Oreochromis niloticus: one gene and its partners. The protein of the gene in region 1 purifies or fractionates together with the protein of each later gene. This does not show direct contact. Links are inferred from orthologs where the notes say so. Each region holds a gene or a part of one and is shown in the gene's direction. Other genes may lie near its edges. The genes, in order: nxf1a, ranbp2, UAP56-interacting factor and srsf7a.

What was found.
Region 2: the proteins of nxf1a (region 1) and ranbp2 purify together in Homo sapiens (co-immunoprecipitation; 5 studies listed by BioGRID and IntAct, with this or other methods). This does not show direct contact. The link is inferred for Oreochromis niloticus from reciprocal best matches to the Homo sapiens genes NXF1 and RANBP2.
Region 3: the proteins of nxf1a (region 1) and UAP56-interacting factor purify together in Homo sapiens (affinity purification with western blotting; 3 studies listed by BioGRID and IntAct, with this or other methods). This does not show direct contact. The link is inferred for Oreochromis niloticus from reciprocal best matches to the Homo sapiens genes NXF1 and FYTTD1.
Region 4: the proteins of nxf1a (region 1) and srsf7a purify together in Homo sapiens (affinity purification with western blotting; 3 studies listed by BioGRID and IntAct, with this or other methods). This does not show direct contact. The link is inferred for Oreochromis niloticus from reciprocal best matches to the Homo sapiens genes NXF1 and SRSF7.

The regions. Positions count from the first base shown.
Region 1 is NC_031966.2:20,671,790-20,679,676, reverse strand, and holds the start of nxf1a (nuclear RNA export factor 1), read left to right. Parts: upstream 1-4,878; 5' UTR 4,879-4,949; coding exon 4,950-5,016; intron 5,017-6,582; exon of another isoform or gene 6,583-6,597; coding exon of another isoform or gene 6,598-6,616; intron 6,617-7,372; exon of another isoform or gene 7,373-7,669; coding exon of another isoform or gene 7,670-7,697; intron 7,698-7,757; coding exon 7,758-7,817; intron 7,818-7,887. Other genes in the region: si:ch73-22a13.3 (inositol-trisphosphate 3-kinase A), read left to right, coding at 544-615, 725-973.
Region 2 is NC_031987.2:11,384,827-11,392,687, reverse strand, and holds the start of ranbp2 (E3 SUMO-protein ligase RanBP2), read left to right. Parts: upstream 1-4,859; 5' UTR 4,860-5,010; coding exon 5,011-5,082; intron 5,083-7,661; coding exon 7,662-7,729; intron 7,730-7,816; coding exon 7,817-7,861. UniProt on the Homo sapiens protein: E3 SUMO-protein ligase which facilitates SUMO1 and SUMO2 conjugation by UBE2I. Involved in transport factor (Ran-GTP, karyopherin)-mediated protein import via the F-G repeat-containing domain which acts as a docking site for substrates.
Region 3 is NC_031982.2:9,983,531-9,991,330, reverse strand, and holds the start of UAP56-interacting factor, read left to right. Parts: upstream 1-4,793; 5' UTR 4,794-4,927; coding exon 4,928-5,000; intron 5,001-5,166; coding exon 5,167-5,307; intron 5,308-5,420; coding exon 5,421-5,584; intron 5,585-7,800. Other genes in the region: cpdp (CPD photolyase), read right to left, coding at 2,019-2,217, 2,826-2,984, 3,218-3,400, 3,726-3,874, 3,988-4,364, 4,545-4,567. UniProt on the Homo sapiens protein: Required for mRNA export from the nucleus to the cytoplasm. Acts as an adapter that uses the DDX39B/UAP56-NFX1 pathway to ensure efficient mRNA export and delivering to the nuclear pore.
Region 4 is NC_031979.2:36,107,941-36,115,417, reverse strand, and holds the start of srsf7a (serine and arginine rich splicing factor 7a), read left to right. Parts: upstream 1-4,467; 5' UTR 4,468-4,690; intron 4,691-7,385; 5' UTR 7,386-7,395; coding exon 7,396-7,477.

The DNA.
Region 1 (7,887 bases):
ACAACACCACATGGGAGGGCACACAGACACACAACTATTAAAATATTATAGGATGCAACTAAAGAGAGAGCATCAAACACAGAAGTGGAGACTTAACAACACGACACAAGGAACACGGGCAAGATGGGAATAAACAAAAACCAGGTGGTGAGCAAGAACGGAAGACTGTAATAAAAAGTCAAAATATAAAATAAGTAAACTTGAAAATCTCATAAACAGGCAAACACAAAGTAACTCAAGCAAAATGAGAAACAACTCCAACCTAAAGCATACTTAAACCCAAAATGAAACTAAAACTCTAAAAACTCAGAACCGTGAAGAGACCCAGGGATGGTGACGCTGAGTGCTTAGAGCAGCCTACAGCCCAACTGGCTGCACATACACTGACCTCGTTATCTGAAAGCTTTGGCCATGTCTAAGATGAGCATTCACTGTTGTAACAGTAAAAACAAGGAAAAGCATAATAGATCCCATTTAACGTTTTATTTATCATAGCTTCACCATTTGCTGTTGCTAAACATCTCCACCCATGTGTGTTCTCAGAGAGCATACCACTCCAGACTCCTGGCCCTGAGTGACGCACTAAAGAATTCGCCATTTTTCAGAACTCATGAGGTTGGTCTACATGTAGAGATGAATCTTGTTCAATTGTGCGATAAATAAAAAACACATGAATTCATCATAGCAACTCTTACAATACCTTTATGTTTTTTAAATCGATCAGGTGATTGGCAGCTCGCTTCTCTTTGTCCACGACCACAGCAAGGCCAGTGTATGGATGATAGACTTCGGAAAGACGACGCCTCTGCCTGACTCGCGGGAGCTCCGACACAACGTCCCGTGGTCTGAAGGTAGCAGGGAGGATGGCTACCTCATCGGTCTGTCCTCTCTCGTCACATCTTTAGCCCAGGCCATCAGCGTGGCCTCATGGCAGCAGGAGGAGAGCTGTGAGGAGGAGCAAATAAGCCCGTGAATGTGCATTTTTGACAGTCGTTACACAATTGTAAGTGGATGAGATGGACGAATCGACTGGTGTTACACTTGGAATGGTTTCATTCGCTGGAAGAGACTTGATTTGTTAATGGAGATTGTGTCTTCAGGGGCTAAGGAAGAGGAACAAGGGACTTCAGTGTACCAAAAATCCATAGATATGTGGTTGTGCATCCGGTATGTACATACTCTGACAGTTAAAGCTACTGTGTTACAAAGAACTTTTTGTTTTCTCATTCGCAAAAGACGGACAATCCAAGGAACATCTGATCTGATCTACAGATCAGGGGCGTACCTGAGGCATGGGTTGGGAATGACTCTGCTGGAGATCTGTTTACAAATGCTTCTGTCTTGTTTGTTTTAATTTGGTTGGTCTGCATAAACTAAAACAGCTCGCCTTTGTTGCAACATAAGCTCATTTAAGGTATCTCATTATGCGCACATAGGCTGAACAGCCTCGTGCTCTATCTTTTTTTAAGACAGTATGTGTAAAAAACATGGGTTAAGTACAGATTAAGCTATACTGATGAAGAAAACACAGCCACAATGTTTGTATTGTATTATTCTACTGTTTGTATTTAGATTACTTACACATGATGCAGCTGAAATGTTTTTCACAGTTTTATAGGCTATAAATAACCTCACATATATAAAAATTAAAATAAGAATGCTTCTTTTTGTTGAGTTTTTATATATCCGTGTCACTATTATCATCATTTTACATAAAATGCAGGGCGATCCTGGCTCAAGAGTTGGGAGTTCGCCTTGTAATCGGAAGGTTGCTGGTTCGAGCCCTGGATTGGACAGTCTCGGTTGTTGTGTCCTTGGGCAAGACACTTCACCCGTGGCCTGCTGGTGGTGGTCAGAGGGCCCGGTGGCGCCAGTGTCCGGCAGCCTCGCCTCTGTCAGTGCGCCCTAGGGCAGCTGTGGCTACAATGTAGCTTGCCATCACCAGTGTGTGAATGGGTGGATGACTGGTTGTGTAAAGCGCTTTGGGGTCCTTAGGGACTAGTAAAGCGCTATACAAATACAGGCCAATGAGTTGCAGACATCCAAGTCCAAATAGAAAGACAATGATATGCAAAAAAGTAAATAAATACATAAAATGCTAAATAGCAGTGAGAGTTTAACCGCTGAAATCTCAGGGCAGTCAAATCCATTCGATCATTGCAAAAAGCAGGTTGAATAAAATATTTCAGTGAGATGGATTAGTGCAGCCAAAAAGCATATATATGTATTACACTGCATGAGGCAGTGGTGAAGTGTTCAACTGAAGTGACGGATGAGTTTAAGGTGGGGGAGGGATTGGCTCGGAGTCCCTTCTTGTTTGATGTGGTGATGGGCAGGTGAACTGATGAGGTCAGGCAGGAGTCCACAGAGACTCCTGCCTGACCTCTTACACATTATGATCTGAAGTGAGAGAAGGAGGCAGGCCGAAGAGAGCTTGGAGAGGTGAAAACAGGTGTAAAAGTGAAGCTGCAAGGAACAGAGGCGGTGAAGGTGGATGTTTAAATATCTCGGGTCAACCATCCAAAGCAACAGATGGGGCACAAGAGAGGAGAGAGTCCAGGCAGAGTGGAGTGGGTGGAGATGAGTGTCAGGGCTGATTTGTGACAGAAAGAGAACAGTGAGAGTGAAAAGGAAGGTTTACAAGATGGGAGTGAGACACTGGCGCTGACAAAAATACAGGAGGTGCAGCTGGAGGTGGCAGAGCTGAAGGGTGGACAGGATTAGAAATGAGAACATCAGAGAGACAAAGTTATAGAGGCAGGGCTGACATGATTTGGACATGTGCAGAGGAGGGTTAGCAGAAAAAAATTGGAGGAAAATATTAATGTAGGAGGGTGGTGTGAAAGATGAGGACGCAAAGGTTGAGTGAGATGCAGCAATCCCTAAAGGGAGCAGCCGAAAGAAGAAGACTGAATGATATGATTTGTGCAAATCTGAAGTATTGTTAAAATAATGCTGAGTGTTTAATTTAAAGTAAGTCAAATAATAAATAACTGAAAAGTAAGCAGTAAAACAATTACAATTCTTAACCCTGTGAGGTCTAACACATCATCGGTGATCCGAACCCTCGGCTATCACAATATGTTTTTGTTTCTCACTGATACTGTCCGTCAGAGGATAACAAAGTAATCAGACTATCTTTACTTTTTAAATTCCTGTTTTTCTTTTCTCCAAAAGCAAAGTGTTAAGACTCAGAGCAAGGGTTAGGGTTTCAACAGATTTATGCACTTTAATATCTATATCAGCTAAATTCAAGTACATTTTTGTGTTCGAAAGTTTAGAAAAATAGGAATATCTAGCCCAAGAGACAATATTACACTAACATTAAGACATCATAATTAGCATTTTAGTGGTTGTAGACTGTCAAGATGAAAATTTATAGCTTTAGTAATTAAAGGCTCCATCTCATCTATTGAAAACACATTTGGCTTATTAAAATGTGACAATTCTAAAAGAGAGACCACAAATTAAGATGCAGAAGTTTGCAATAATGTCTTGGAGCTGTTATCACTGACTATTGTTAAAAAGGACAATGACTAAATTTGGATTTTTTTTTTTTAGTTAACAACAGGAAATACAGCAGAAAAATTAATTTTTTCCCCTTTTGTTATTGTTTAACAACCTAATAATAATTTGTGTATGATTGACAAATAGATGCCTGAATTAAATTAAGTTAATTACTTTGTTAATATTAAAACTATTTAAGCCAAATATCTATTTTTAAAAATGCCATAAAAAAGTACAAAATCTTACATATGCCTAAATATATTTTTTGTATGCTAATATTGTGGCAGTTTAAGCGTTCAGGCTGCAGTAGTCAGACGCTTCGTTTCGCCAGGTGGCGCCGTGTTGTTGGAGGATCAGGAGAAAAGTGAGCGGGAGAGACCGACTGACAGGAGCTAAAACGACAGGTTTTCTGTACTTTTATGGAAAAAAGCAATAAGGTGGTAAAAAAAAAAAAAAATTAGTGGTAAATATTGAAACTTGGCCTGGCAGGATACGCAGCCAACGTGAACGGTAGCTGCTAGCTGCAAGCTAGCCTTAGCTTCTGCTCACAAAGTTGCCCAAAAAGAAAAAACTTCAAATTTCGCTCAAGAAGGCTGACAAAGAATCTGGTGCTGTTGTGAAAAGGAGTTTTTCAAGGAGAAAGTAAGTTTTACTGGGAGATTAAGTGGTCTTGAGAGGACTAAGTGGTCATGTTTCAGAGGAGCTACCCCAACCTGGCCGTGGTGACACATGTGGTGAATGATGGTAAGTCTGACTCCCATTATTCTCTCGGCTTCGTTTAGCCTGGGTTTACATTACCGTCTAATCGCTTACACCTGCCTATGCCTCGTGTTTTAAACAGACATTGTGAAAGATATTGCCTGAACGTTGAATATTTAAAAATAAATAAGCGTGCTACCGAGGAGGAAGCTGTAGCTATTGTTTACCTGGTCAGAGAATTTAGTTGGTGTGATGCTAACGGAAGCCTTCAGGCTAATATTTTTAATGCATATATTTTTTATATTAATTAAATATATATTCAGTTGCAGTTTGGTTACTTAGGCAAAAGAACCACCTGGATGGTCACGATTTGTGATAAAACACAGATTGTACAGCTGAGCCTATCCTAAAGTTCCTTTGAGTGAAATAGTGTCAAATTATACTCCTTTTTTAATCCTGATAGGCTATATTAAAGTGCACTGTTTGTACAAAAATAAATAAAAAGTAAGCAACTCCGGACAATTCCAAAAATTAAAATATTAAGAGCTTGTTATGACATTCTGTGACATTTCTGGTAGTATTAAGAAATCGTGCTGGTTCACTGTCAGGGCTTATTGGGACCTCATTATTGTTATTGCTTCCAGCTGCACCTTCCTGCCTTGAAAGTGCTCTGTCACAGGCATTTCTCACAGCAGATCATTTGCCCTGTCGCTGTAGATATTAATAGATAATGAGTACCGATAATGGCTGCATTCCACTTATGGGAGGTCCTGGTTTTATGCTTGGTGTTCAGTGGCACAAACAATAGAAGTGAGTCATTAATATCAACTGGGTTTTTTTTTTTCTTACTTTTTACAAGTCAGTCTTTTGTGCACATGTCACGGGAACTTTCCAGTTATTTAGAGGATTACTGACAGCTGGTCAAAACAACATACTGAGATATGATTTGTGCAGCGCTGAAATTAGAATAAAAACTTCTGTAGGTTTAGGAAATGACACATCTAAATGAATGTGAGTCTGTTTTTATCAAAGGTCTTGGTGTTACATGATGTTGAAAGTATTATTTTCAAATTTAACGAATATAGTTTTTAGAAGAGATAGATTAAGAAGTCTTAGAAATCAATAGAAGATTTTAGTTATAAGATCATTTGAGTCTTATTTTACCTTGTATTGTAATATACATACATCACGAGTTAATATACGTTTAGTTTCGAGTTCATCATGAAGACAAAAGTAACCATCTCTTTAGTAAATCTGCCCTTCATGAAGGCCATGTTTTAGTGGATGTTTGTGGTGCCTGCTGTCTGTTGGAAAAATATCCAAAATGCCTGTCAGTAAGATAAGATCCAGTTTATCTTTAAAAATTATGTTAAACACTGTTAGACCAGCTAAAAGTTAGAAGCAACAGAAATTATAATAATTAATAAAATACTGTAACAATAATTACAGTAGTAGGCCTACTGAAAAGTAATATGTTATGACAAAAATATTATAATTAGACAAAAAATAAGTTGAAAAAATGAGCAAAATAAGTATATCATACAAAAATAATTATTCCAAATTCAAAAAAGTAAAATAAATAGAATTAATAACTATTTAATAAATGTAGGAAGATGAGATGAGATAGCCTTTATTTGTCCGTTGCAAGTCTTTTGCCCACAACCGAGATGACAGACAGCAAATGTATAGAGCTGTGTAAAAGTCTTGAGCCACCCCTAATTTATTTAGCCTTCATTTTGATGTTTTTTTAAATATATATTTTGGTCTTAAACAATATTTCACTAGGACTTCTAAAAGCCTCATTAAAATTTTCTTTCAACATTGGCTACTTTCTCACTCATTTTCAGTCCAATCCTTGTACCTGACCATTTTCAGATTTTTTTGTGTGTTGAGCCATTTAACACTGACCAATGATTCATTCAAGTATAAAAACAAACCAAAACTCAAGGGATGAGTCAGTGTTTCCTCTGCTCATAACAGACAACTTTGCAAAGAATCCATCATTTTGTTATCAGCAGCCTGTCCAAAAACACATAATACAGAAAAGGCTGAGGTGTGCCAAATTACAAAAGAACTGGAGTGGAAATCAGTGGCAACATGGCTTATTGAGTGATGAATCCAAATATGAAATGTTTGGTTCAAATAATCATCCACTTGTACAGAGGTGGTCAGGAGTGAGATCCAGCATATAAAAAAACACAGTGGAACACTATCAATCATGGACTGGCCTCCCCAGAGTGCTTAGCGCGGAATTATTGAAGCAGTGATCATCTTGACAGAGAACAGAACAAAAGACAGCCAACATCAAACAAAGAGCTTTGAATATTATTCAAGAAGGCTGAAGAACTATTCCCGAGGACCACTTAAAGAAATTACTATTGGGATCGGGCTATGTTTAAGAATAAGTGCGGTAAGACCAAATGCTGACTTCCTATTTTTCCTAGGAAAATATAAAGATCAGGGCTGCTTCACGACTTTTGCATAGTATTATAAGACGACATTAAAGTGGCTCAATGACACAGTACAGGTGGTAAATAATATGTTAACATGATGGGAGGCATGTAGTGTTAATGTGTGAGATATGGAAGAATTCCAGTAGCTTTCCTTATCCAGTACATCAAAAATGCACCTACAGGAAAAAAAAACAAACATACACACAGCTTCTCTGAACAGTGTTAACTCAGGGGTAATCTCAGGTGAGGTTTGTTTCGCTACAATTGCACCTGCTCATAATAAACAAGAAACAGTGTGTATAAGTGTGGGCGTTAAGTTAAATTTGGTACTTTTCACTAACGTTTAGCTTGCTAAATAAGATAACCCCATTTTATATACCCTTTGATACCGCTGTAGATTTGTTTTAAATACATTTGCATACTGGCGCAGCTTTGAAAAAAACAACAACAGATCGGCCCGTTGGCTAACTTAAAAGACAGCTGTCTGTGTTTTATCCCCCATCTTTGTGGAAATACAGAAGTTGGTGAGCCTTTTAAAGAGGTTCGTGTGTTTATGATTGGCTGTAATATGATTTAAATGGTCGGATATCCTACATCAAGCTTCGCGCTATAATTTTTGCTCATATACGCAAAACTAGGTCGAAGCTAACGCTAGCAAAGCCTGATTTGTACATTGCATGTTTTTTTTGTTTTTTACTCGACCATAATCCCACCGTAGTTTGTTTCAGCTGTCCGCTCCCTTTTCTTGCCCCGGAAGAGAACCCAGTTGTGTTTCCGGCTTCGTCTTCTCGTTTGGGCTCGGCAGGGGAAGCTAAGCTAAGCTGCTAGATACAAGGCGACAGTCACGTCGCGGTCACCTTTGTTTCCGCTGGTCCACCCGGGATGTTGGAGTTTCTCCGACAGCCTTGGCTTTGAGTGCCGTGAAACAAGGAAAATAACCACCACTAGTAGCATTGTTGTTTTTTGTTTCACTCTGGGCTGTGATTGTTATCCAACACTATTGGAGAAATATGGCGGACGGCGGTCATTACTACAATGGTAAGAAGCCACGTTCATTGCAGCTTTAAACTTACTGCACTTTTAACGATCTTTCCACAGATCTTAGAGACTTTGTCGTGAGGAGAGAGGTCAGAAGAACCGATTTCATGGTTCACGGAGGTAAAAATATGTCGAAGGCATCTCGGAGGTGTCATTTTGTGACCTTTTGGACACATGTTTACCCAGTACC
Region 2 (7,861 bases), on another chromosome or scaffold:
TGATTTCTGTCAAGGAAAACACAGGCAAGATTCTGTTCATTCAGGGAATTGTTATTCGTCAAAAGGCATTATGAATGCTCATGAATCCCAGTGCTAAAACAGACATAAATTAGGGCTGCTTGAAAAACAATGATCAGAATCACTTCATTTAACGTTGAGACTGCAATTATTAAAAGAGGGATGTGCGTTTCTCTCATCTTGATCATGTCTCAGCCTTGTAGGGCGTCAGTTTTTGTTATAAAGGGTGAGAAAAGATGAGGTCAAGTTGAAAGAAAGGCAGATGTGAAATGTAAATATTAGGTCAGAAGTCAAATGTGACATGATACTTTGAATGCAGAGGATAATGTGATATTTAGAATCCCTGGTATCAGTATCCAAATTTAAGTCTTAAGTTAAGACAGCTGTCTTCTTCTTGTGTATTGTCTTTAAAGATAAAAATATGATTAATTGCAGCACCCTACCAGAAACACGCATGGGAAGGTGTGCATCTTTGTCCAGGATTTGGGGTTTTGAAATAAAGGTCTGAAAAATAACATTCGAAATTCAGACGTTGCTACGTCCAATGTTCGCAGGAATCAGAGTTTTTATGATGGAATTAAAAATGTATTCAAAAAATTAGATTTCAAAAGTAATCTCGAGTCTCAGTAGGTCTGAGACTTGTCAGAAGGGCTTCTGAAGGAATGAGATCATTACAGTGATGCTACACATATCATGATATGTTACAAAATCCTCTCACCTGGAAACAATATCCTCTACTGATCACTGGCCAGTCTTCTGAAATACAACTGTTTCTCTTTCTTCCACAGGAACAAGTTTGTGGAGTTTGACATGAAGCCGGTGTGTAAGAAGTGCTATGAGAAGTTCCCTCTGGAGCTGAAGAAGAGACTGAAAAAGCTGTCTGAAACTGTTGCAAGGAAGTAAAAACACAGTGGAGCAGCTGGAGAGGGAAAGATAGATGAGACCATGAGGTGGCCATGTACAAGCCCAGAATTAAAATAAAGAATTTGTGTGTTTTGCAACTGCTATGTTGCATTTAGGTTGGTTATAGCTAGAAAGCATTGCACTTTCAATTTCATGTGCCTGCAGCCGGCAGCTCCGCAGTCACATTTTCGGTCAGACAGCTTTAACTTTGTGCCTTGTACCATTTTTGCAAAATTGCTCCACTGTGTGTTTTACACATGCCTGCTAATTTCCTGTATTTAAAAAAGTGACATATGAGTTTTAAGAGTACATAGAAAGCCAGAGGTAATATGATGACTTAAAAGCTTTGCCGCCACCTTGTCTTGTGATGCCAAAAAACCTTTATTGAAAAATATTACTGCTTCATTTCTATAACAATCAAGTAAGCCCAAAGAAAGAAAATGTCCCAAATGTGTAAATAACCTCAAATATTTCCAACTTGTATCATTTTATGTATTAGTAGTGTTTATTTCCATTAATATTATGCATAATAAGTATTTTATCTGCCTTTTTTTTGTTTGTTTTTTGGACCTACATTTTAATATTACACAACGGACTCGACCATCACCTGCAGTGTTGGATTGCCTTGTTACTGTATGTGCTATGCATCTTTGTGTGGCATGATCTCTGTGCAAATTGGTATTTATTCAGCATTTTTTTGCGTTTACAATCTGAATTAATCTAATACAGCCAAAGTGCCGAGGGCGAAATTTAGATTTATTAAATACATGTGAGTGAATAACTGTTACCTGTCAGTGTTCTATAAAACAATCCCTCCCCCGTCCCGATGTGCTGTCAACAAATATTGATCATAACAAGCATCTGAGCCACAGGATTTATTGAATGGTTACTGCAAACTCAGTGTGTGTTACAACATGACGGCTTGTGGCATGTACAGAGACCGGATATGGGATTGATGTTGAACATTTGAACGTTTCCTCTGTTGTTTGTAATCCAGGGAAAGTGATCCTCTTAGGGAGGTGTACCGACTTCCTCGGGGCTCAGACCCACTTAGGAAAGAAAGCCAAACTGGTCTCATTCTTGCAGAATGCTTCACATGACCTCCATTTTATCACAAAGCTTAGCTTAAAATACAAGCTCTATAGATAAACACATTCCACTATTTTATCATTATGAAGTGTATGTTACTGCTGTGCATTTCCGTGCAGATGGCACAACTTTCTCTATGTCATACAGAAGTAAAACTATCCGCTGGGCTGATTGTTGTGAGGCAGAACTTCGGCACCTCGAGCCACAAATAGTTCAGTGCATGGTTTTATTTGATACTTTACTACTCTGATGGACTGAGATGACTCTGTGCAAACAGATACTGCTCTGATACTGGATATCATCATTGCAATGTTTGTGAGCAGATTTATTCATGTTGGCACACCAAAGTGCATGTTCTTAACTTGAAATTTGGGAAGTTGTTTCTTATTATATTTAAAGTCATTCTGACACTTCATCGGAATAAACACATATGTCAATGCTACCGGTGTGTGTGTAATGATTTATTTGGTTTACAGCTTCTTACCATTCTCAAAGTGTAACGTGAAACCAGCAGCAGGCTCAGGATTCACAAGTGTTGCATAATGTTTAATGACACTCCAAAATTTCACATATGTTGCATTCGGGTCCACGTTAAATGGGAACATGCTTGATTTTGAGCTTCATCAAGTATATTAGCAGCTCCACATTATCATATACACACACATATGAAGTGACTCAAAATATCCCAACATCAGAGGACTACTAATGGACATTATACACATGTGTGCAACACTAAACAGCCATTAGCATCTGCAGGATAGTCAATATGACAACCATAATCTGAAACAGCATCCATCTAACTTCAGAAGTTATTAAGAGCACAAATCAATAGAGTTCAAGACAAAATTGTTGGCTATATCCAGATGTTAGCTAACTCTCACTCACATTCAGCTAACAGAAAACAATTAGAAATACAACTGCAACATGTTTGACTATTAAAATACCGGTTCAAAACATAAACCTGTACAATAAATATTTATTACTAGAATTATGCTGTAAGTTTATACAATGCAGAATATAAAACTTTTGGGAATAAAGTTAAAGATAAAAAATACAGGAAGATTAATCAGTGCACAGTATCAACTAAAGAAAGGCAACATCCAAGATGATACATACTTACAGACAAAAGAACATCAGTTTTATTAATACATATCTTCAGAGTACACCAGCTGGAGTATTTTCATTTATATTCTACCTCCTTTTGCCTTCAGCACTGCCCTAATTCTCTGTGGGATGAATTCAATAAAGTGCTGGAAACATTTCTGTGAGATTTTGGTCCATGTTGAAAAGATGGCTTATTTATTTTCAATAAATAAGAGATTACTGGTTTGATCACAGGAGAAAACAAAAAATCTACCAAATCAAATATGTAGAATTAACTGCTGCGGTGGCCCTTTTACAAGCTGCTGAGTAGTACTGACATGATAGCATCACGCAGATGCTGCTGATTTGTTCTCCTGTTCCAACACATCCCAAATGCGCTCTATTGGATTGAGATCTGGTGACTGTGGACGCCATTTGAGTGCAGTGAATTCACTGTCATGTTCGAGAAAGCAAGCAAAGAGATTATTTGAGCTTTGTGACAAGGAGAGTTTTGCTACTGAAAGTAACCATCAGAAGAGAGGTGCACGGACATGATTAGCAACAATACTCAAGACTGCTGCATTTCAGCAATACTGAGTTGGTACTAAATGGCCCAAAGTGTGCCTATAATTACATTACAGCACCACAAGAATCAGAATCTTTTTTAATGTCAATGGAACATTGAAGAATTAAAACAATTAAATCATGCTGAACAAGTTGTGTCTTCTCCTGGGATCAAACCAGTAATCTCTCTCCTTGACAGATCCATGCTTTCATATATTTTACACCAAATTCTGACTCTACCATCTGAATGTTGTAGCAAAAATCAAAACTCAACAGACCAGGCAACAGTTTCAGTCTTCTGTTCTACAATTTTGTTGAGCCTGTGTGAATTGTAGCTTCAGTTTCCTCTTCTTAGGAGTGGCACTCAGTGTGGTTTTCTGCTACTGTAGCCCATCTGCTTCAAAGTTCAGCAGGTTGTGGATTCAGAAATGCTCTTCTGCAAACCTTGGTTATAACAGGTGATTGTTTGATTTACTGTTGCCTTCTTGTCAGCTCAAAGCAGTCTGACCAGTCTCCTCTGACCTCTGGCATCAAAAAGTCATTCTCACCCAGAAAACTGCCGCTCACTGGATACTTTTTCTTTTTCTGACTATTGTTAGTAAATCCTAGATGTGGTTATGTGTAAAGAAATCCTAGTAGATCATCAGTTTCTGAAATCATACTCGTCGACTCCATCTGGCACCAACAACCACGTCACATGCAAAATCACCCAAATCATTTCTCCATTCTGATGCTCAGTTCATAATAGATGATGAATGTCTGTGTAGCTGATAAAGTTCAAATGGGCATTGCATAGCACAGCTTTCCCTCTGACAACTGTTACTCATTCAGGTGTGCAGAGGTTTTGATGAGAACACTTTGGAATAAACCGCTGACTAAAAAATGTTTTTTAAAAAAACTCCTTGACTGAAGCTTATCAACAGAAACAGACATGGAAAAATTTGCAAAGATATCAGCCTATAAAACTGGGCATGATATAGCATGATTTGTTTAAGTCAATACTATTGGTTACACATATACAGGGTTTAAAGATATTTAATTTATGTAACAAAATATTTATCAAATGAAGGATTAAGGCTTAATTGTTGGAGAAATTAGGATTTTCAGGTATTTGTAACAGAACCCTTCAAACTGAAATGCGTCAGTCTGCGTTAAACTGAATTCTTGTTCTCATTGGTTAAGAAGTCACGTGACAGCTGCCATTTGACGGCATTGAGACTGCGCAATATCATCATGGGGAGTTAACGTCAGGCGAGCTGATGTTACCGTCAGTTTTGTTTTAGATATTTAGTGAATTTCTGGTTTTCTATGTCTCACATTCAGCCGCTGTAGAAGCCCCTGACCTTGGAAGCTATGCGACGAAGTAAGGCTGACGTGGACTGTTACGTTTCCTCAGTACAGAGTTCCTCTCCCTCACTCAAAGAGGTAAGTTAAGCCCGCCGAGGCTAATGTTAGCATGCTGCTGCCATCATGTCACATCAGCCGGTATGAGGTACAACCTGTACACATGTTCAATGAACACTCGTTGCTTTTTTAACTACGATGACGGTATTTCGGTTGACTCATATGTCGTTCTCTGTGTAACCCCCGTCCCCCAGATAGTCTTAAAGACTGTAGCTAACCGGCCGGCGTGATGACGCCCCGTCGTGTCCTCCCCTTTATACTCGGGAAAATGCGCGGCATGGGATCCCTTGAACAGCGCCAGCTAATCAGCTATGCTAGTTAGCCACGATAGCGAGACAAAGCTAGTTGGATAGGTTGTGCAAGTTTCATTTCTCTGGAAAAGCTAGGTTTCAGTTCAGACAACAATTAAAAATGCTCGTTGCTTGATCGTATCAGGAGCAGCAACCCTAACTCTGTTCAAAAACTGGTGGTTTTAGTTTAATTGCAAACAGACTTGTCTGTTAATCAGGCAGAGTTCCAAGGTTTCTTGATTTGCTTTTGTTCTTTTTAATTATTATTTATTTGGATCGGATGTCAGGGGGGAAACAGTTACACCCACAGAAAATCAGAATATTTAATGAGAAATAAATACAATGTAAGAAAAACTTGAATGCATCAGAATTCAGGCTTATCTGTACCAGAGGTATTATGTGAAAAGTAGCATTGCTCAACAGTCTGAAAGATGCTTAACTGATAGCGATTAGCTCGAAAGTATACTGAAAGGACAAATGATGCAGAAATATATGTTAGTGTTATTATGAGATCATGAAAATTTGTTTTGTAGATATCCTTTTAATGTTGCAGCTGAAGATGTTGGTTTAATTGCTTATACATATCTACAACATGGCAGCATAATATGATAGTCGATCAGTCAATTACTTGAGTAAATGTGGTGCTATGTGGTCAACGGTCCTAACCATGCTCTCAAGTTGCTTTACCCTAGTCAGGGTTTTGTTTTTGCGTAATTCCAACGATGTTTTGGTCTTACATCAAAGTAAAGTCATCAGGATTGTGGTTTTTCATTGATGTGGTGTGTAGTTTAATGTACTCAAGCTTAGAATACACTTTGTGTCGCTAGTGATCAAAAGTAATTAATAAAAATGCACAGACCTCTAGAATAGAATAAACCTTTAATATTCCACGGATGATAAATTTGGGTGTTACAGCTCTTAGACCAAGGGGAATATAAAAGGAAGACACAAAGTGGTCCTATATACATAAGCAAACGAGGTTCGTATATATACAGGTAACAATGTACAGAAATATGTATAGAAAAAGTAAGGCAACACAGACTCTGTCTTAATTATTTGTGGAGCAGTTGTACTTGCATGCACAGTCACCCTCCCAGAGGTGTGTTTTGAGTCAGGAGAAACCTTGGTATTGTAAGATTAACAGTCTAGCCCAATTATATGTGTAGGGTTGCACCAGTAGAGCCAAAAATGTAGTTTTGTTTGACAATAGATTCACACTTCTACACATATACCTGTGGAATGCCTCCTTGTGCATTTTGTTGTGTACAGTAATGTGTGTAGTCTGGAGACATTTACCTAAAGAATTAAATCACAAGATTGGGTGTCATGCTGTTCAGAGCTTAAACCTGTATTATCATCAGTTAAATCATTCCTAAACAAACATACAGAAATTAAATGTTGGTGTGATTTGTAAGGAAATATTTATTTACATAGGACTTTTTAAGACAGGAATCTAGTTTTAAAAAGTGCTTTACAGGGAATTTAAAAATATATCAAATAAAAACAACATATTGCACAAGAGCATTACCCAAATGCCTGTCTAAATAGATGAGTTTTCAGCTGTTTTTTTTCTTCTTCTTCTTCTTCTTCTTTTTTTTTTTTTTTTTTTTTTTAAAGAAGCCAAAGAGTCAATAGTGCATAGAGGGGGAGGTAAACTGTTTTGACGCTAAGGTTTGGAAAGCGTGATCCCTCTTTGTATTTTAAATGGGTCTGTGGAATAGCCAGAAGAGCACTACCTGCTATCAACTTATTCTACGTTGTTCACCTGACACTGAAAAAGTCAGTGATAATAGTTGTAGTGTGGTGGGTAGGAGAAGCTAGCAGTAAATCTGACAATGGGTAATGCTGTAATCCGGATGGCTAATATGTTACTAACTAGCCTCTGGGAGGAATAATTTCCCAAAACTACGATTTAGTTAATTCCTCAGGATAAAAGATGTTTTGGGGGTTTTTTTGTTGTTGTTGTTGTTTTTTTTGAGCTGATCACTTGATCAAAACTGGATAATGAACAAAAATATCTTTCATTATTCTGATGTATTCCCAGTTAACAATCTACTTGAACCATTATAGACGGCTGTGATTTAACTAGGCATTGGCAGGTCCATATGCAGGATTTTTTTTTTTTATGGCTAAAAATGGGCCTTTGGGTTGTGGTACAGTTACTAAGCAGGTACTGAGTACTGGTAAGTATTTAAATCCCACTAAGCCAGATAACTCTGCAGGACATGTGTAATTGCATCTTCTCACTATCATAACAAGATGAATCCATTTCCTCATGCTGGTCCACATATTTTTTTTTTCTCTCCACAGAAGCCAGTCAAAGGGTTTTTATTTGCTAAATTGTACTTTGAAGCAAAGGAATATGATCTTGCAAAAAGGTAAGCATGTGAGCCTCTCCATTGTTTGACCCAATGCTTGTGTGTTGCTATATTGTTTGTAATTCCTGTCTTTCATGCTTTTCCTAGGCATGTGTCAGACTATCTCAAGGTCCAGGAGAGGGATCCCAAAGC
Region 3 (7,800 bases), on another chromosome or scaffold:
TAGGACACTTTTATCATTTAGGGACATAATTTAGGGGAATTTAAACCATCTATAAAAGCAACACTCTGAACTCACCCACATTATCAAAAGTCTCAAGGAGATCTACAAAGAAGGCAGTCAAGGTTTTCTTGAAGAGGATTACAGCGCGATGAACACAATGAACAGAACACCAAGATGCTATTAAGAATTCTTCTCCAGATGTACTGTACAAAAGTCTTAAGCCACCTCTCATGTATTCATATTTTGATTCCAAGTAGCCAGATTTTCTTGTTATTTTTAAGGTGGTCCTGTGCAAAAGTTCTCTAAGTTTCCTGAAGTTCTTTCAAAGTTTTTCTTTTCCTTTTCTTTTACTCATTTTTAGTCCTGAGTAGGGCTGGGTATCGTCACTGATTTCTAGAATCGATTGGATTCCGATTCACAAGGTCCCGAATCGATTCGATTCGATTTGTTTCGAATCGGGGAAATTTTGCCTCAGACAGTCAGAAATATTATAATTCTGATCACGCATCAGTACATTTCCATATTTTTTTTGTCTATAAAAAGAAAGCTGACAGTTGCGAGACTTTATCAAAGGTGTAAGCATCACAGCAGATGCCTTTGTGTCAAAGTGACTGAGGATAAAACACAGAAAAACATGAAGGAGATTTTCCTGGCCTGGGATTTTATAGCAGATGACCTTAAAAAGATTCTGCAGTAGATCAAAATCGAAAGAAAACCATTAATCAGCACATGAACATTAGCTGATGCTGCTGAAGTGATGCAGAGCAAAGTTACAGAGGTTTTATTAGAGACGCAGCCAAGCGTTGTGCAATTTTGCATAATTTTAAAAAGTTTACATTTGTCCAGTAGCCTATCGAACGGCAGAAATGAGGCTTTCTTGTCGGAAGTAAGTAAAAGGAAAAATACAGCGGCCGACAGCGCTGTAAACAATGGTAGACTTGTGCGTAATAAGCAAGCAAATAATGCAGAAAACAGAGATTTTTAGACGCGAAACTGTTCTTGAAGTGCACTGAGAAAGACAACGAGCTCTGCAGGAAGTGTGATTTTATCGTGGTGGAAGCAAAACAGGAAAACTAAGAGGAATTCATGACGATGTTTATGTGAAGCGAAATGCGGAGTGTAGTTCGGATCTTCTTTTGCTGCTGGTTCAGTCAATATTGTTTGGAGAGAGATAAAACCTGCAGCTTCAGAATCTAGCGCAAAACAGACGGAAACACAAAGCGCGGACCCGCCGACACATCAGAATCAGAGAGCTGTCGGCTTTCAGCCCCGACCGTGTCCGTGCCGTCGGGTGAGAAAGGCGACAGCTCACTGATTCTGATCCGTCGGCGGGTCCGCGCTTTGTGTTTACATCTTAGTGCAGAATCCGTGTACCTGCTCTCATTTACTGTTTTAGCTGTTTGGTGGTTGTTGAAATTTTGTGAGGTTTAACCTGAGATTCTGGCGTTTCGGGCAAAATAAATTTATATTTAAAAATTGATTCAGGATTTTAATGAACTGATATCACGTTATGCAGGCTAGAATCGATTTTAATTGATAAATCGATAATCAAAACCCACCCCTAGTCCTGCTTTGTTATGCCACTTAACACTGACTGTGACTCACCCAAGCATAAAAAAGCCTCCTAACTCAAGGGATGAACCAGTGTTTTGTCTGCACATAACAGACAACTTAGTAAGGAACCAACTTTAAATTGTATCTTTAGGCACTTTGCTACTAGCAGCCTGTCAGAAAACACATTTGTTCCCATTTATTTTGTTAAATCTACAAAAAAATGCCAATACTGACATTGTTTGACAGGCATAAAAAAAATAGTATCTTTGCACCAGCAACATGATTCCTAAAGAGCTTTTAGTTTCAAACTAGTCATATCTTGTGCAGTGTGTCCTTAAGACATTTTGAGGAAACTGGACAAGTGCAGGACAAAAGCAGAATTAGCAGGACTAATAAACTATCTAGAGCATATGAATAATATTAGAGAGTCATGTCCTTAAGAAAGCTTCTCACAGAATACTGACCAAAGCGGAGCCAGGGGGAAAGCTGGCTCAGGGCGGGAGCGTTCGGGTCGTTGCGTTGGCTACCAAACAGTTTAAGTCGTACATCAATGAAGGACTCCAGCATGTCCATCCCTGGTTTGGTGCCCGGCTTGGCCCATTCTGGCTCTTTTACAGTTCTGTCAACATCCAGGGAGGCGAGGGTTTTGTCCCAGTCTACTCCCTGTGAGGTAAAGAAGCAAGAAAGGAGAAAGGCTCAGTAGAGGTCACAGCTGAGAGTGATGAGTTAAAATATACACTGTGGTGCTACAGAGATCTGACAACTTCAAAAGCAAAGGAGAAAGTTTTTTTTTTTTTTTTTTTTAAATCCAGCTCAAAATATCAAGTGTGGGGGGGTCAAACCGTGTGTAGCATATCAATCTCAACCCTGGAGCAAAAGCACCCCTGCAGCTTTAATAACCAGTACAAGGGGAAAAGAGAGTTTTAACTTTTGGACAGTTAAAAAAAAAAAAATCCAGTTTATACTGAGTCATCAATAAATAATGTGTGGAAGTGAGGATAGAGTTGAAGGGTAAAAGTATGTGCTTTCTGGCAGCAGCTCGACTTCCAGGCTCCCCGTCGATGAGCCTCCCTGACAGCTTACTTGCCTCGCAATTGATTTTAGAACAACAACCCAAAAGCAATGAATAATTTCATGACCTCCAGAAGATAAATTGTAATTGTTTCTCAACTGATCCAAGAGTCTTTGAACTCACTATAAATTATAAATACGCCTCTTTTATTCTCAGTACATTCAACATTTATTCACTTCACTGTTTCTCGAGCACTTACTTTGGCGGTTCTCGTAGCAGTGTGGGGGTGTGCGTCTACCAGGGGAAAATCAGTGAGGAACTCTGATAACAGATTGGTAATTTTTCCTCTGATCGTCCGAGCGGAGTACTCGAGTTTAGGTGAAGCTACCCAGCAGGGAACAATATTGTGGGCATCAACCTATAAAAGGAGAATAGAGTGTTCAAGAAATAATGATAGGAAAAACAAAGTCAATACGCATGAAATGAGAATGAGGTCTGCGGCATCAGTTTTCATACCTATTACTTTGGAATCAGGGGAACAAATAAAGAGAGAAAACAGCCTGGGGACAGGCAATAACCAGAATACAGAGCATCCTATCAGCACACACCTCCTGCAAATTGGATCTCAGAAAGTGAGGGGTTTTTTCATACCTGTATGAAGGGAATGTCTTTGGGAAGTTTCTTTTTGACGTCCTCCAACCACTGCAGCGGCTCTCTGATAGGAGAGAAGTCAGTCACCACGGCCCCAAAGCTGCGGTTGGACACAAAGCCGGGGAGAACTTTCCCCGGAGCGCCGTGCAGCAAGTGGAACTGGATGTTTAACTGTTCACATTCCTGTTATATGGACAGAAGAGCAAGAGTGAGGCTGGGCTGTTAGTTCAGGTTCACTGATGATGTCCCACCACGTAATACCTGCAACTACAGCTAGACTCAAACAAGAGTGATTCCTCTGGTCGGGTGTAGTACTGCACAACTAATGTATGAAATATTTCTCATAGTTTCAATCACAACGTCCCTTTTATTAAGCTCTGTTTATAATGCAATGCATTTTAAATTAAACATGTAAAACAAAAAGCACTCAGAGAGCTCACCCTCTGTGCAGTATTTACTTTAAAGGAATAGTATTATATTTACTATATGTTCATTTTGAAGTTTGTACCTTTGCAACTTCTTCCAGCCCCTTCAGCATGAAGCTGTAATGTCTCAGAGTAGACAGCTCTGATTTGGGCACTACCAAACAGAAACAGACATGCAGAGGGAGGTTCTCCTTCACGGCAAGCCGCTGGGCATGGATCAGTGCCCAGTTATCTAAACACACAAAAGGAATGTGCACATACGTCATGAGAAGAGACAGTGAGAAAATGCAAACCAAACAGAGGCTGCGCCATTGCTGCACTGATGGCTCTGCTTTGATGGGTTACCTTGTACTCTCTGATCTCTTAACATCCAGTAGAGGACACCCTCTGAGCCCTGCTTTATCTTTTCATTATCAGACAGAAAACGCAGGCGCTTTTTGTTGAACTTCATGTCTTTCTTCTCTGATCTCTGCTGCTGCACAAGACTCTGCAGCCAGCCCCCAACTTTCTCCTTCTTCTCCTCCTTGACGGGAGCCAGCTTCTGCTGCTTGGCACGGTGCTCCTCGCCAGCAGCTGCAGAAGATGCCTTGCGTTTCGTGCCTGACATGGTGAGCTGGCAGCTGAAGAAACAGGTCAGGAAGAAGAGTGCGGGGCTGCTGGGCCTCTGGTGGTGGTGAGGGAGAAGCTTTAAGAAGCGCCCTGGTGCAGAGAAAGGTGATGTGCTGCAGGAAATCGTATAGAAACAGCGAAACTCAAAATTCAGAGTTTTTGCAGGCGTGAGCAAAACAGTTACAGACTGGAAAACTTCATATGAACAAAGCGACAATGCAAACAACAAGAACTGAGTCAACGGGGAAGCTCAATTAAACGTGTTTATAGCGATTCCTACTACTGACACATACCTCCTCCAAACACAGTGCAGCATACAGGGTGGGAAGCTTCAAATGATGCAGGCTCCGCTCGAGTGGACAACAAAACGTGAAATTAAACGAATAAACAACAGACTGAGTAGCCGTCGTGACAGCAGCAGCCAGGCGTCTGAAACCCGTGGCGTTTTCCCTTACACAACCACTTACATGAGCGCGCTGGTTCGGGTTTTGTAACGCTGTGTTTTCATTGAATTGAAATACACTTCCCACAGTGCATGTCTGTGACCTCTTCACGGGGCATGCGCGGCAGAGGCGGTTCGTGTCTGTTCTAGCGTATACAGGAAAGGAGCGGATAGCTAGCTCGGCTGCTAACTATATTTCTGTGTCCACTTGGGTTGTTCACTGTGGTTTGAAGTATGAACATGGGGGATTTCAAAGCAGACCGAGGGAAAAGGACACCTATTCCGGATAAAGTCGACATGTCCTTGGGTAAGGCCCTCACACAGCTATGAGCAACGTTACTAAAATAGACTACAAGCTAATAATATTAGCACCTAACTACTGGGAGGTCGCCAGTAGCTAGCTAGGCTAGATAGGCAGCACTTGTCAGAGGGCTCGCTGTTGTTGATCACTGCTCGTGTGATGATTTTAACAGATGACATTATTCGGCTGAACAAAAAAGAGCAACAATTAAGAAGGAGACAGGCCAATGTGAGCCGCCGACCAGTGAAGAAGAAAGGCCGCTTAATCCAAGGAAAGGGAGTTTCACAGAGGACTGCAGGACCAGCCCAGAGAGGTGTGTTCGCTTACGTTTTCTCAGTTATTATTAGCTTCATAGGTATGCTTCTCTTTTTCACCCCAGTTGAAACAAGTGTGTTTATCTAATGTCGCTATTCCAATACTTACCAGGAGGTGGCATTCCCCGAGGAGGAGGTCCCAAATTGAGAAACAGAAAGGTCCCACCGATAGTGGCTCGGAGACGGGGTCAGGGGGTCATCACAGGACTGGCAGCCAGGAGACCAGCGGCTCTGCTGAAGCGAGCCGGCACACTCAACAGATCAGCATTCAACCAGGTACTGGAGGACTGCACTGAAGGAGACATGAACTATAGTCCATAATACTGCCCTGCCATCTTAACTGGCAAGCACAGACCGTGTTGTGGTTTTATTAAAGTGTGGGAATCACTCCAGCTTTTGAAGCCTTATTAGGGGGCAAAACACTGAGAAACCAGACCTTAAACACAGACAGCTTTAATGGAGCCATGTTGGAAAATGACGCTACACCTTCATAAAGCAATGTTGGAATACTTCATCAACTTAGGTTCTGCTAGAATTAGTTGTAAATCATATTCAAAGTACTTCTAAACTGGACAAAAATATATAAATCTCTTAAAATTTGGTTCCATTTATTATGTTTTCCTAAAGTCAGTCTAGCTTGCTGAATGTACCAGTAGGTCCACTTTAGAGAAGTGATGTGCCTCACTTTCATCACAACCAGAGGTAGCTATTTTTCCTCATCTTGTCGCCTGGCAACAGACATCAGCATCTCTGGCGTGTTGTCCAGGAACTGCAAACTTTCTTCGTTAGCTGCGTCCCCTGTGGTTGTTTGACCTGTTTAGATGCTGTTCCAGTGTTTCTCAAGGGGGATATCGTGCTCAGGAGGTAGCACACTTTGAAAGTTCGGGAATGTTTTAGTTCATTTTAGTTATTTCACATAATCGCTGCAGCGATTGGTAGAAATCATTTTGCCTGTTTTAAGGTATACAAAAGTCAGGGAAGTTCCTGCGTTAGCATCGCTTTACAATATGCACACATGCTTGCAAGTCATCCTAAGTAGCTTTAAAGTTCTGCTAAGAACTACTACTTTCTGCCACAACATCCATGAAATCAGGATGCTGTGTGGTCCCCAGTGTGGGGCAAAAACCTAAATTTGAAGGAAACTACCTACTTTTCACAAAGTGTCCCCATGTGTGAGACCAGACACTTTGCGTTGGAGCTCTGGGAGTGCAGACATGGATCAAGGATATAATTTGGTTCCCGATAATGAAAGTATGGAAGGTTTAGGTTAACAATCTTTCTGTCAAACAGAAAGTTTACAGAGTGTGTATAGTAAGATCAAATGGACAAAGAAATTTTCTTTTTGAGTCACAATTAATCACCAAAATGCTGGTGTATTTAAAAATAAAAAATAAAAATCCAAATCTGATCTCTTTCATAGTGAAATTCAACAAATATACACCTCATTTGACATACACAGACTAAGTATTTGCACCCTTCCTGATTTCTTTTTTTGTCCCATGTTTGTTACACTTAAATTAGATAATCAAACAGATTTTAATATTAGACAGAGATAACCTGAGTGAATAGAAAATGCAGCTTGGAAATGATGATTATTTGTTATTTGTTAAAAAAAAAAAAAACTGGCTCGTTTGTGGAAAAAGTAATTGGCCCTTAAACCTAATAACTGGTTGTGCCACCACTGGGAGGAAAATCTATAATCAAATGTTTGTGATCACTAGTAATGAGTCTTTCACATCGCTGTAGATCTTTGCAGGTTTTTAAGTTTTTTTTCAATTCAACCACGTTGGAGGGTCTTTGAGCTGGAACAGCCCATTTAAGGTCGTGCCAAAACTTCTCAGTCTGATTTCAGTCCAGATTTGAGGATGCCAGTACACTGAGAACGATTTTTCGAGCCATTCAGAGGTGGAATGTTCTGGTATCTTTATGATCACTGTCCTGCTGCAGAACCTAAGTCAGGGGTAGGAAACTCCAGGCCTCGAGGGCCAGTGTCCTGCAGGTTTTAGATATGGCCTTGATCTAACACAGCTGATTTAAATGGCTAAATTACCTCCTCAACATGTCTTGAAGTTGTCCAGAGGCCTGGTAATGAACTAATCATTTGATTCGGGTATGTTGACCCAGGGTGAGATCTAAAACCTGCAGGATACCGGCATTTGAGGCCTGGAGTTGCCCACCCCTGACCTAATTGAAAGCAGAATTCATGGTTCCATCAGTTACATTAAGCCATCCATGCACTAAAGTAGCAAAGCAGTCGAGACCGTCACACTACCACCACCATGTTTGACTGTTAGTATGATGTTCTTAATGAAACAATGTGTTAGTTTTTTAGACTAAAACCTTCCACATGATATTTTGATCCCTACAAGTCCATTACTTTTTCACACAAGGGCAGGAAGGTTTGGATAGCTTTTTCCCTTAATAAAAACCTATTTTCAGGATAGTATCGTCTTCTGAAGTGAAAAAGCAGTCCCATATTTTAGCGAACTTTT
Region 4 (7,477 bases), on another chromosome or scaffold:
CAGCGGCGCTGCAGACCACGCCCCGCCACACACATTAACAAGGTAAAATAGATATTTAGGCAGAATTTTGCAAATATCTTTTTTTTTTTTTTTTTTTTTAGCAGCATAGTGCTTTTTTTCCAATTACTTTTTAAAAGTCAGGTCAAGGCTCCAAAAGCCCAAAGGCGATATAAGGGTGGCGGCTCACAACAGTTTTTGTTTGCTACATGGATCATTTTAGTTCAGCTGGGTGTCTTTCCTTTTGTTATATTTCTTTAAGAGTTCAAAATGTGTTGATTACATAAATAAAATGTAATTTTCTCTGTAGCACTTCATGGATTTCATAAGCAACACACCTTAGTTGCTCTGTGGATTCTTTTAAAAAGCAGTTAAAAACTTTTCTGTTCAAACAAGCCTTTTGTTGATCTACGTATTTTATATTCTTTACATTATTTACATTTGATCTTTTACATTGTGTATAATGTCTATTGATTGTATTGTTTATTTTAATATTTGTGTACAGCGCTTTGTGACTGCCTGTCTGTGAAAAGCACTTAATAAATAAACTTTACTTACTTACTTTAGTTGTTCACACAAAGCACAAAGGTAAAAAAACAATATATACAGTGTTATCTTCATTTTAGATTTCAAAAAGTATTTGCGGCTCCCAGTGTTTTCTTTTGCGTGGAAACCGGGTCCAAGTGGCTCTTTGGGTGTTAAAGGTTGCAGACCCCTGTCCTAGGAGATGAAATGCCGGATTGCTAGCGAGGCTACAAATACACACAGCCGCTCTATCACGTGACTCACACTGCTCCGACGTACTACGGTTATGAGCCGAGTTACGCCATGTCGCAAGTTTTTTGAGGTGCTCTTTTGATATTTAATGGATTGGATTACATTTTTTTATTTCCCTCCGATATCCGATCCAGTAATTTACGTCAGTATCGGACCGATACGATACGTAATATCGGATCGGTCCATCTCTAGTTAAATTAAACACCTTGCTGATAGCTAAAGGCAGCCGTCCTATTTTACATGAGGCTAAAGGGGCATGATGCGTGTAGTAGACATTATTTATTTCAAAATGTTTTCATAACATTTTTTCAGATTTAAATTGAAATATTATAAAATAATGTGTTAGTCAGATTACATTGCGTGTTTTTTCACAAGCCAATAAAACTGTACATGGGCCAGTAAAACTCTGTGATACTGAGGGTTGTTTATTTGACTTTGACCTTTGACTGTACTTTGAGATTATTTATTAATAATTGTAATATGGCACATAAAAGGTTTATTTGTTTGTTTTTTGACAGGTGTTCAATTTAATTCAATTCAATTCAGTTTTATTTATATAGCGCCAAATCACAACAACAGTAGCCTCATGCCGCTTTATATTGTACAGTAGATCCTACAATAAAAGATACAGAGAAAAACCCAACAATCATATGACCCCCTATGAGCAAACACTTTGGCGACAGTGGGAAGGAAAAACTCCCTTTTAACAGGAAGAAACCTCCGGCAGAACCAGGCTCAGGGAGGGGCGGCCATCTGCTGTGACCGGTTGGGGTGAGAGAAGGAAAACAGGATAAAGACATGCTGTGGAAGAGAGACAGAGATTAATAACAGATATGATTCGATGCAGAGAGGTCTATTAGCACATAGTGAGTGAGAAAGGTGACTGGAAAGGAAAAACTCAATGCATCATGAGAGTCCTCCGGCAGCCTACGTCTATTGCAGCATAACTAAGGGAGGATTCAGGGTCACCTGGTCCAGCCCTAACTATATGCTTTAGCAAAAAGGAAAGTTTGAAGCCTAATCTTGAAAGTAGAGATAGTGTCTGTCTCCTGAATCCAAACTGGAAGCTGGTTCCACAGAAGAGGGGCCTGAAAACTGAAGGCTCTCCCTCCCATTCTACTTTTAAATACTCTAGGAACAAGAAGTAAGCCTGCAGTGCGAGAGCGAAGTGCTCTAATAGGGTGATATGGTACTACAAGGTCATTAAGATAAGATGGGGCCTGATTATTTAAGACCTTGTATGTGAGGAGCAGGATTTTGAATTCAATTCTGGATTTAACAGGAAGCCAATGAAGGGAAGCCAAAACAGGAGAAATATGCTCTCTCTTTCTAGTCCCTGTCAGTACCCTTGCTGCAGCATTTTGGATCAGCTGAAGGCTTCTCAGCGAGTTTTTAGGACATCCTGATAATAATGAATGACAGTAGTCCAGCCTGGAAGTAATAAATGCATGAACTAGTTTTTCAGCATCACTCTGAGACAGGATATTTCTAATTTTAGAGATCAGCACAGCGCATCACCAGGCCTGAACTACCAGCCATGCAGGATCTCTATAGACAGTGCTGCATGAGCAAGTCGCAGCGGATCCTCTCTGATCCCAGACACCCCACCCACAGACTTTTCACACTCCTGCCGTCCGGCAGGCAGTTCAAGAGCATGCAGACCCACACTACCAGACACAGAGACAGTTTTTACCCACAAGCCATCAGGCCTTTTAACTGCTGACATTCTATACACACCATCACACACTCACTACAATTACAGGACTCTGCACACTGTCACATCAACTAATGCCACTTAAATGCTCATTGCACAAGTTTTGCACAAACTGTAAATACCAACTTGTCTTAAATTCTCTAAATATTTAATACTTTTGTTGTTTTCTTCTTAATTTAACTGTACACTTCTATATGCTTATGTAAAGCTGAGGAGCACGAGCCAAAGAATTTCATTATGGGTAAATGTGGCTACACTGTTTATCTGTACATGACAATAAAACTTGAAACTTGAACTACACCACTGGGCAGAAAACGTTCCCTCTAAGACAAAAGGTAAAGTAAAGGAACACACACAGAAAGAAAGCTCTTAAAATGTGGTTATCCCAATCAGATAGCTATTGAAGCTATCTGAGGCTGTGTTTCACCTGTTGACCCCAGGATTAAAAACACCTTTTAACACCTTGGCTCTTGTGGTGACTCACATCCTAAACGGAATAATCATAATAAATAATATATAATAACGTGTTCAAAACGGAGTAGGAAGAAGTAAAGCTTAATTAAAATCCTAAAGCCTGAACTCTTTCATGGCATGCAGTTTTAATTTCTCTTTGCTATTTGGCTTTATGTGGTTCTATCGAACACTATAAAGCCAGAATTAAGTAATGATGTGCAAAACTCTTTATTTGGTGTCTGAACACAGCAGCATTTTTTCCTGTGTACAAAAACAGTTGTGCCCCCTTGAGCAATATGCGTCATTTAAAAAGCCATTTGAAAGAGCAAAATTTAGTATTGTGGTCTAGACAACCCAAAATGTGATGTCCCCATATGTGGATGCTAGATCCTTGGATGTTAATTTAATTCAGTGAGTTTGGTCAGTGAGCTACCAGAATAATATAATTTATACATTTATTTCTGACAATTTAAGACCAAAGAGTTGCTGAATGATTTTCAGTAACTGCACCTGCATTTCTTCATCGTGCAGAAAAAATGAGATGCACAGTGTGGAAATTGCACTTTTTTTTATTTTTCTTATATGAAGATATCCTAAAGATTGATTGTGCAGTTAAGCTACTGAGTCACAGGCTAGTTTCAATGGTCCAGCTTACTTAAGACCAACATGGGCTGTAAATGGCCCACAATGTAAAATAAGTTTGAAATCTCTTGACTTTCCACCACATGGTTAGGAAATGAACCTGTCTTTTATATCAGGGATGCATTTACTGATAGAATAAAGACAGGATCTGGTCAGCTTGTCTGTTAAAGTTGATCTGTTACATCAGCACAAGGGGACATTAAAAAACAAACATCAATTTACAACATTGTTTTTGTTTGTTCTTTTTAATAAAATTAAAACTGTTTGTCTAAACAGGAGGTTTTATGTTTAGATTTCAAAAAGAAAGCTTTATCATGCTCTTGATGAACCTACTGTTTCTAGTGTCGTGTTCTACCATTAGGATAAATCTTGGATTAACTGTGAATTAAATTAATTTTGGAGAGATTTAGTAACTGTCAATGTTATTATTCATAATCTTTAAAACAATTTTAGTTTCCAAAAATTTGACAGGAGATATAAATAAGGATATGACATATCCTTTTATTATATCAGCAGTACATTTTAAAATTTTTGTTTGTGTGTTTGTTTAAAGTAGACAAACGATCTGTGATTCCAGAGGGTTGCATCAGGGGGCTTTTTGGAAAATTCAGGGTTAAAATTAAACTAAATTAAGGAAATGCAAGCAAAACTACAAGATAATATTAGAGAGATACTGACTACTTATGAAACCAATACACATGCTTAGTTAATATGAAGCCAATTGTTGTAGTCATTAAGAAATGTAGCAGTTACAAGTACATCAGCTTTTCTGCTTTGGGACTTAAAGTGGGAAATTCTTGCTGTGGTAATTCTTCATGTCGGTCGTTTTGTTTTGAAAATATTCCCCGGACGTTTCCGGCTTCGCTGTTGAAGTCACAGTGCGCAGCTGCGGTAGTCGCTTTGCGGTGGTGGTAGGTTTCTTTTGCTTTTGTAGCCGTTCGTCTTGCGGCAGAGCCATGTGGAAGCGCCCCTGATGATCGTCTGTTCGGCTTTGTAAGGAGTTTAAATCGCAGAAATCAAATTTAACTGTGAAGAAAAGACGTCTGGCTTCAGTTTGACGCGGCTGAAGTTCGTCTTAGGAGCGGAATCAGAAATCATCGGACGAAGGTAAGACCGGGCTAACGCGTGCTACCGCCATTGTTTATAGGCAAGCGCGGACCAAGGCCTCGAGTAATTCCGAAAATAACTGCTCGCACGCATACACCAAACTCAACAATTTCTGCTTTTTCTGTTTTACTTGTAGCCGATTAGTTTATTTGCGTGCATAAAGTTGATGTTTAAAAGTGTGTTGTTGAACTGGAAGTGGCGTGGCCTTCCGTCTGTGAGACGCACACGGAGGTTAGCGCCGGTTTCCTGAACGGATACCCGGCGGTGTTCGCTTAAAAACACGCGGGAGACAAACGATCGTATTGTATAAGACACCGCTGAGTTACACAGATCGATCAGCGAATATAGTTTAATCCAGCCGGATCGGAGGCCCTCGGGGCCTGGCCGTTATCAGATATATAGATGTAGTGAACTTCAAAAAGCTGCCGGGCCGGTTAATAAATGACGAGCGTCGTACCTGCGTGTAAAAGATGACCTTTGTAAAAGCGTTAATGGATAAAGTTTATCTTTTAAGTACCTGATACAAAAGAAGACGAGATGAAACGGACATGAACAACGGAAGTCAGACCCAGAATCATCCCAATGGCTGTGTGAATGGGATTTTTAAGCGGTTTTTAATCCATCTCAGAATCAATAAAACAAAGCCTTTATGTAGCCAGTATGCCAAATTTCTGATCTGTACGTTTTTGAAAGGGTAGGAGGCATTAATGTACTGGGTGCTTTGCTTTTCAAAGCTTTAAAATTTACAAAAAATGTAAAAGCATGAACAGTTAAATGGTAAATGGCCTGTATTTGTATAGCACTTTACTAGTCCCTAAGGACCCCAAAGCGCTTTACACATCCAGTCATCCACCCATTCACGCACACATTCACACACTGGTGATGGTAAGCTACGTTGTAGCCACAGCCACCCTGGGGCCCACTGACAGAGGCGAGGCTGCCAGACACTGGCGCCACCGGGCCCTCTGACCACCACCAGTAGGCAACGGGTGAAGTGTCTTGCCCAAGGACACAACGACCGAGACTGTCCAAACCGGGGCTCAAACCGGCAATCTTCCGATTGCAAGGCGAGCTCCCAACTCTTGAGCCACGATCGCCCCAGTTTGCATCATTTCCATCTTAGAAATAACACATCTTAACGAGTAGTAGTAGCACCTGGAAACCCAAGGCTACGATTGTTGGGATGGAAATATCTAGAGCAGTGATAAGAGTTTCTGTTTTGTTAGAATTTCACTTTAGGAAATTGGCATTTAACCAAGCGTGGAGAGCTGCTTAGCTCAGCAAGAACACGACAGATGGATGTCACTGGACATGTTTTTAAAATTAGCAATTATCCGCCCAAGAGGTGTAGGGTCGCCACAGGATAAGGCAACCTTTTTCTCCAAGAAATGGCAACAAGATAACTGTCTGCAGTATCAAAACTAGTATAGTATAACTTTCTCCTGAGCCCATCAAAGTGTCACTGAGTTTTTCTGCCTTTCCAGAAAAGGGAAATCCTGTTCAGCTCTAACCTTTTCTAAAATCTGTGGGATTTATGACTAATAGGTGGAACAGTGTCAGGCCAACCACATGAGGGCCTACTGCATTAAACATTTTTAAATGTGGTGATGTGGGAAGTACTTCTGCAGAGCTTGATGGCAAGTTTAATTTCACACGTGATCAGTTGCCAGGGTTACAGGATACACAGGGAATACGTTTGAATCGGAAATGGTTGAATTTGACTTTAAAATTAAAAGGAGGTTATTGATCTTTGTTTACAGGTGTAGGATGCTTATGGCGCGCTGTAAGATTGCAGATCCATTATGGCACTTTAACATCTCACTGTCCCTTCAAACAACCTTGGTGTGCTCCAATACAGGTTTTTTTTTTTTTTTTCCCTGCCAGTTTAGATACAGCTGGTTCATTCAAAAGTGTCTGCAGGGACCCTTTATAGTTCCAAACCATGCCAGCAAAAATATACCAGAGCTACCAGATCCCCCTCGCTGTAAGGGTCATGGGTTCATAATTACTTTTCCAGCTGTCTGTATATTGGCAGTATTAACCAAACTAGATAAGAGAGCTAAGCATTAGAGACAACTAAAAGAAGATACCCAGATGGTAGGAGAGTAAAAAAAAAAAACAGTTGCTGATTCATCAACCCTGATCTCTACATGTAGGTAATTATAAAGCCAGGTGTAAAACCTCACCTTTAGATTTAAGTGTAAATTTTTGAAAGGGCAGGACCACGCCTGAGGATTTAATGATGCATTCACATGAAACACAAAGGGATGTTTCCCCTTGTGTCACTCACATGAATACGGTTGTTGATAATCTGTCCTCCCCCCAACAGCCTACAGGACAAGGAGGGGTACAAGCAAAAGGCGGCTTTTAGAACTTGCCATTAAGTCCTTCAATTTGTCATTGACTTTGTCTTCAGACACCCCACCCATGTAAAAGAAAAGTTGAGCTATTGCGCTCTGGCTGCTCTCAGTAACCTGAAGTTTAAAAAAAAATTTTAAAAAAAGAAAAAAAGATTCTGACACACTTCCACGCAGCAGTCATGCACTAATTGTAGCATCTGGCAGAAAAGTATATTCTAGAAATTCCAACCTTTCCTATATTTCCCAAATGTAGAGGAAGATTTAAAAAAAAAAAAAAAAAATGTATTCTTCTCACTATGATCCTCGTCTTAAATATATTTACCATCTCCCTGCAGGTGAGAGAAAATGTCCTACTACTCATCCTCCCGTAGCTCGTCTCGGGCCACTGACTGTAAAGTGTACGTCGGTGACCTGGGCAATGGCGCTG